Linked DNA regions of Arabidopsis thaliana. The protein of the gene in region 1 interacts with the protein of each later gene in a pairwise test. Each region holds a gene or a part of one and is shown in the gene's direction. Other genes may lie near its edges.

What was found.
Region 2: the proteins of AT1G35430 (region 1) and ckl3 interact in a two-hybrid assay, tested with the Arabidopsis thaliana proteins (one large-scale study listed by BioGRID).

What each region holds. Positions count from the first base shown.
Region 1 is NC_003070.9:13,029,830-13,033,176, reverse strand, and holds AT1G35430 (uncharacterized protein), read left to right. Parts: upstream 1-1,801; 5' UTR 1,802-2,145; coding exon 2,146-2,517; 3' UTR 2,518-2,624; downstream 2,625-3,347. Other genes in the region: AT1G35435 (Putative membrane lipoprotein), read left to right, coding at 1-2, 196-371.
Region 2 is NC_003075.7:14,249,096-14,253,026, forward strand, and holds the start of ckl3 (casein kinase I-like 3), read left to right. Parts: upstream 1-2,039; 5' UTR 2,040-2,255; coding exon 2,256-2,331; intron 2,332-2,427; coding exon 2,428-2,468; intron 2,469-2,670; coding exon 2,671-2,740; intron 2,741-2,829; coding exon 2,830-2,978; intron 2,979-3,081; coding exon 3,082-3,177; intron 3,178-3,254; coding exon 3,255-3,325; intron 3,326-3,435; coding exon 3,436-3,497; intron 3,498-3,572; coding exon 3,573-3,636; intron 3,637-3,762; coding exon 3,763-3,847; intron 3,848-3,926; coding exon 3,927-3,931. Other genes in the region: ckl4 (casein kinase I-like 4), read left to right, coding at 1-102; AT4G28870 (mutator transposase MUDRA protein), read left to right, coding at 1,326-1,625. UniProt on the Arabidopsis thaliana protein: Protein kinase involved in blue light responses (e.g. hypocotyl elongation and flowering) by phosphorylating CRY2 to reduce its stability.

The sequences.
Region 1 (3,347 bases):
AAGTAAATATTTTCTATATTTTTCTTCTCTCTCAGTTTTTGTTGTTGTTGTTATGTCAAATTTTTCTCTCTTTTCACCTAAACTTTTGCTATACATGTCTCTCTTTTCAAATTCGTAGACGATATTTAATACATAATTTCTTGGAAAAAATATAGTAACTAATGATTATTATTGATTTGTTTTGGCGATTAATAGTAGTGAAAAGAATGCAAGTTGGACCTAGCGAGTGTGTTTACAGAGGTCGGTGCCGAGATAGCTACGAATGTAGGAGTCGATGTGGACCGCCTGAGTTCTCACATGAAACTCTTGGTTTATGCATGTTCGATTATGATGATTACGAATATTTTTGTTGTTGTACCACAAATTACTAAAAATAATTATGATTTTGGTTGAATATTTATATTTTATTTATATAGAAATGAATCATTGTTTTAAGATATGTCAACAATACAGAATTTTATATAATGTTTGCAGAAAATAATATTTTCTTGTAACAAAAATGCCCTATTTTTTGAGTTTTCATTTGAATAATACCCTATCCTTTTTCCTCTTTTAAAAACTAAATTTAAGTATATAAAATTACTAAAATTGCCTCATTAATATTTCATAATAATTAAAATGAATTTAAACTTAAAACTGAAAATTTCCATAAATTTTAAATTTTAAATTAATATTTAATATATTTTACATTTTTAAAGATAACCGTTCCTATTTTAAATATTTAAACAAAATTTCGTCCTAAAACAAAAGAAAAATAAATTAAAAAATAATCTAAGATCCTGTCTATTGAAAATTCAAAATTGTGTTTCAAACACTTGAAAATATCTTAAGTGAGAGACTTTAAAATATTTTTAGATATTATCTAATTAAATTTTAATATAGAAAATAAATAAACTGTTTTTATCTCAAAAATAGTTGAAAAAATAATTAAGATTACGATTTTTTTTCTTTCTAAATATTGTTTTAATTTATTAAGTAAACAACTTTTATTTTAAATATGGACAAAACTGTCATTTAGATATTAAAAATTAAGTTTTATTAAACACAAAGAAAATGTAGTTTTCAAATGAAAACTCAAAGATATGATAGTTTTCATAATCTTCCTTTTTAATTTCTAAATTTATAATTAATTCCAAAATAATATTGTTTTTGGTCAATAGTCCAAAAATGATTTCCTTTTTGGATCGATGATCAAACTTATACCGATTAATGTTTTTGGGCTGTAGGAGGCCCCCTGTAATTTAGCTTTTCCACTAGGATTTCCCATACTTTCAGCCTATGCCCTATTCCATTTTTCTCCCAATGTATATAATTCCACCTAAATCACTAAAATCAATTAAGCTTCTCAACTTCCGTTTGAAATTGATAATCGCATTTTACAATCGTTAACCGCAATCAAACGGTTGATCCAAACACGATCTATTAACACTTTCTCAAAGAGAAAATCCAATTCGGGTTATAACATTTTTTTTCTCCAAAATAGATAAGTCTAATCAGCACAAAACTAGATAAGAAACGATATTTGAATCTCTAGGTTTTGGATGTGTCCCACCGTCTCCATGGCTCTTCTCCGGAGTTTTACAATGAAGGTCGCACGTGACTACTTTCATTCAGTTCTAACTTATGGTAAAAGAGATTTTTTGTATTGTAATTTGTTTGTGTGTTTTGTATGTCTCAGATTTGTTTTAAATTTTAGTTTTAGTTTTGTAAATATTTTTTGAGTTTCTAAATTCCGATTCGGGAAATATTGATAGATATTATGTAGTTTGTTTGCTCGAGTTTTTTCTCCTTTGTTTACCTTCTTTAATCTTGTCTCCAGGAATGTTTTTGTACTCGTTAGCTTATCTGTCTTCAGAAATGTTCTTGTACTTTCCGACTCTTTGTATTTCATAATAACTTTCCTCCAAACTGGTCTTGCTCATATAACAAACAGATTTATCAAATTTTGTAAATAAGTAAAAAACAGTCACATGACAAAAACCAAACACAAGTATATAAAAAAGTCAAATAAAAAGAACAAAGTCATGTGCCAAAGAAGCTTCTCCATGATCCCACTCATTTACCAAAGTCGTGTCGTACAACCCACGACCTCCTCTCCTCCCCATTTACTCCAGCCATGACTCTTCACGCGCCGTCGTCACCATTATGTTGACCGACGTCTTTTGGCTTCGTACACGACGGAGCCGTTTCGTTTTCTTTCTCCTCTGTTCTCCATTACTAATCCCAATCCTCTGTGCCTCAATCCCAATCCTCTGCGCCGTCGAGATCTTTAGTCGTCTCCGTAGTCGTCATCCTTGGTTTGCTAAATCCACCGCCGAGGAAGATGATTTGAGGCTCCGGAGATGTGAAGAAGGATGTGGTTGCGGCGGGTTTGATGAACCGGAAGAAGCTGGTTTGCTTCAGAGATACTTGGAAGATCAGTTGGTTTTGGTTAGATCTGTTTATGATTGTGGTGAAGAAGATCAAGATCAAGATCAAGATTCCGATCAAATTATTAGAGTTCCTCTTCTTTCGTAAATTTCCTTTTTTCGATTCCTTTAGATTTTGATCTTTTTATGTAGATAAACAAAAATGTCAGTTTTACTATATACTTTTCAAATCCGATTAATTGAAAATTTTCTACCATTTTCGTTTCTCTTGATTCAGTTTTTTTTTTTTTTTTTTCAACAAATACACCAAAAAATAAATATTTCAACAAAAAAACACACAAAAATTCACATCATAATTATATAATTTATATATATCAAAAATTATTACGAATAGTGCAAATGTCAAAACGGATAATTTGGCACATAAAGTTCGTGTCCAACCGCATCATATCACTTATGTAAACAACATTTTTCAGGAATGACTCTTATGAACTCTAATTAAGAGTTCTAATTAATTTTGGATTAAAAAAAAAAATCATTACTAATGATAAAAGAAATTCATTACCATCAATTTTAATTTATCATCATCTCCGCCATTAATTAAGGGGCCAGGTTATTTTACTTTCCATTATTGTCAAGAGTATATTTTTCCAATAATGCTTTTTATTTTTGTTTTTTGAGAGAATTTGGTAAAAAAATGTTGGATACGAGTTCTTGTGTTGGGTCAGATCAAGGGCCACCTTTGTTTTGTGTGAACCGAGTGTGTTCCCACAAGACAAATCATACGGTGTAGGAAATACAAGAGTAGAAAGTGGTCCATATCTTATCTCCGCACATTCTTTTGACTGCTAGAGAAATTACTTATTTTGATCTCTACCCACATCCAAAATCCAAACTTTGATCTATTTTTAGAAGGATTATTAAAAGTAAGAACCTCAAATCAGAACAAGAAGGAATTGGCCAATGAGCCTTGCAAGT
Region 2 (3,931 bases), on another chromosome or scaffold:
ACCTCAAAAAGAAATGTCAGACCCGAAACCTCAAATTCTGGGTTTGGGAGCGGGAATAAAACCGGCGGTTGGACTTCACCATTCATGTCACCGGGGAAATGATGCAAAAAAAGTTGGAGTATATCATTCATCTGATCTGCTGAGCAAGATTATGTGTGCCTTTGGGTCTAAACTGTGATTTCTGCAGTGAAAAGCTCTAGACTGAGGTTGAAGATCTGAATGGAGTTTTTCCATGAACAGCTTACTGTTTGACAAAAGGCATGAAGATTATGTTTGCTTTCCTTCAAGATTCTCACAAATGACTGACTTCAACCTTTGTATAAAATCTTGCAACCGGGCGTGTAATTTGGTTCTTGTGATTCATTCTCCCAAGTTTTCTTCTATAAAACTTTGTTCGTATTTCTGTACGTAGTTCCCTGTGTTGGGGCATAACCTGGGTTTGCTGTGTCATCAACATTGTTTGCAGAAAATCAAGAGCAAAGCATGAGCAGCTTCAGCAGAGATGCCTTCAAAGGCTTGAGTCAAGAGTTGCTTGTGGCAGGGACATGTCACCATCAAGCTAATGTGCAGCTGACGAGAACGTAAAAGGATAAGCTATGGCTAGCTTCTGGAATGCTCCGAGAAACACTTCCCCCTTTTTTTTTCTCTGAATTTCCTATTCAGTTTAATGGTATTCTGTGTTTGATTTTTCTTACTCGATTTTGTGCATTGAAAAAAATTATATCAAAAAGCTTGACTTGATCCAAACATGCATTTTCAATTGCTATTATTAAAAAAAAAAAACGTATAAAATTGTAGTCTCAATATTGAAATACAAACACCTAGAATTGATCGATTTGGTAGAGAACTAGTTAGTGGATTAAATTTGGGTTGGCTGATTTTCGAGCCATAAACTATTTCGATTCTCAGCTTTCACACCCGGACTTTTGGGCCTTTAAATTTCCACCATCAACTTTCATATTCCCAAAATTACATCATCTATTTTTGGATTCATGCTTAAACATACATTTCCAATTGAACCATTCATTTAACCGGGATTAACCACAAATCCGCGTTTACTGTACCGCGATTGCGATTAACCCAACTAATACCCAGACCCGTTAAGAAAACGACGTCGTTTTCATTTCGTTTAACTCATCAAAAAGAGAAAGAAAACGACGTCGTTTTCATTCTTCTTCTTTAACTCTCAAATCGATTTAGTCGTTCTTCTTTAATCTCGACACTGTGAAATTAGGGTTCTTGAGAGAGAAAGACAAAAGGGGATTTGGGGTTTTCTTCTTCGGTTCGAATTTTTGGGTCTCGATTTGGGTTTCGAATAGGGAGAAATGAAGAATTGGTGGGAGGAAAGATTGATTTACCAAAGCGATCCAGATGACCCCGATTTCGAACCTCCAGAGAGTGACATTGAAGCCGACGATGGAAGTGATAGTGGTGATAGCGGAGTCGAGGAGGACGAAGCCACCAGAATCGAGGGAGAGGACGTCGGGATAGATGGAGACAGAGCTTCTGATGGAGAGGAAAATAGAGAAGACGATGGTGACATAGCGTCTGATGGAGACGTCAATCTAGAAGACGATGGAGACAGAGATGAAAGTCAAAAGAAGAGGACTACCAAATCGATTTGAGAGTTAAAGAAGAAGAATGAAAACGACGTCGTTTTCTTAACGGGTCTGGGTATTAGTCGGGTTAATCACAATCGCGGTACAGTAAACGCGGATTTGTGGTTAATCCCGGTTAAATGAATGGTTCAATTGAAAATGTATGTTTAATCATGAATTCGAAAGTAGATGATGTAATTTTGAGGAATATGAAAATTGATGGTGGAAATTTAAGGGCCCAAAAATCCGGGAGTGAAAACTAAGAATCGAAATAGTTTATGACTCGAAAATCAGCCAACCCATTAAATTTTCGAACCTTCATCATTTTGCAGACCCCAAAAACGGAAATCATCAAATCATCCACCGTGCCAGCGTGACATTACAAAATCACGTAAATACCCTCGTGTTTGTTTATAAGGTAAAAAAAGATTGGCGGACCCAAAATGGTGCAGTAGTTAGGTGTACAAATTTTTTTTTGAAGGATCACTACTACGGCTCAAACAAGCCTGGGTCCATGTCACTACCACCGATGTCAGTCAAACAAAAATAATAATATATGTTTTTAAGTTCCTCTAATTTCAATCTTCTAAACAACAACCCTAAATCCTTATCTCTATCCTTGCGCTTGATCCAGATTCGGTTCTGATTGGAGCTGCCATGGAACGCATCATCGGCGGCAAGTACAAGCTCGGACGGAAGATCGGCGGTGGTTCGTTCGGAGAGATTTTTCTAGGTTTTGTGTTCTCCTCTGTTCTTGTCCCTTTGGTTTTCCGAGTTTGCTTTTTTATTTGAAATTGACGCTCTTCTCTTCTGTTTGTTGTTTTCGCAGCTACGCACGTCGATACCTTCGAGATCGTAGCTGTTAAGATCGTAAGTCCCAGCTCAATTTGCCTTGAGACGAATTGAATCCATCCAATCTGGAGATTTGATTTGGATCTGCTATGTCTCTTAATTGATTTTGTTTGAATTGCTTTACTCTAAAATTGAGCAAGGTTTTAAACTCGGTGCTTTTTAGCTGCAATATATTCTTCAAGCTAACACTTGTTTTTAATTCAATCATTTTCTCTTGCAGGAGAACAGTAAAACAAAGCATCCTCAACTTCTCTATGAAGCTAAGCTATATAGAATTCTTGAAGGAGGAAGTATGATTCTCTTTCCTCTCTTTTCTCAGTTGTTGGACATTGGAGGGATTCATTAGCAGTACAATACTAATTTTTATGTTATGTGTCAGGTGGAATTCCGCGCATAAAATGGTTTGGAGTTGATGGAACAGAGAATGCTTTAGTGATGGATTTGCTCGGTCCAAGTCTCGAAGATCTTTTCGTCTACTGTGGGAGGAAATTCTCACCAAAGACAGTCTTGATGTTGGCTGATCAAATGGTATGGCATGACTTTCAACTATTCATTAGGCTATTTATAATATCTGTTGACTTATACATTGATTATCTAATGTGCTTCCGATTTTCTTATCCCGCTGTTACAGCTAACAAGAATAGAATTTGTACATTCGAAAGGATATCTGCATAGAGATATTAAACCCGATAACTTCCTCATGGGCCTAGGTCGGAAAGCAAATCAGGTATATTTCTGCAACTTCTTATCTTCATCAGATGCCATAAGTAGAGTATGGTATGATTGATAAGTCTCATTTTTCAGGTTTATCTAATTGACTTTGGACTTGCCAAAAGATATCGGGATGCCAACACCAACCGCCACATCCCTTACAGGTATTGTGGCCTTGGTTCAATATACAGATTGTAAATGATCTATCTGTTTTTAAGTTTTACGGTCACGTTAATCATTATACAACTTATTTCCTTTATTCGGCTATATTCAGGGAAAACAAGAATTTAACAGGAACTGCACGATATGCAAGTTGCAATACACATCTTGGAATTGGTAAGAAATGCTGGCATTCTTTATCCTTATGTAAAAGTAAATCGCTTTTGCTCATATTTTGGGTTCTCTTCACAGAGCAAAGTCGACGGGATGATCTAGAATCGCTGGGATATGTGCTTCTGTATTTCCTAAGAGGAAGGTGTGTTGTCTTTTTGAAAGAAACTAGTTAACATTATGTTATTTCGCAGGGTATTTCTATTCCTTGTTTTTAGAGATTTACTTAACTGTTTTTTGTGTTCCTCATTTCATGAACGTCCTTTTCTAGTCTTCCATGGCAGGGTCTTAAGGCTGTTGACAAGAAGCAAAAGTATGATAAAATCTGTGAGAAGAAGATATCAACTCCCATTGAGGTATGTTTCCCTATTGTGTGATTGATTCTTTTTTTGTTAATCCTCATTCGACTAAGTATATATCGATATCCCATTGCAGGTGCT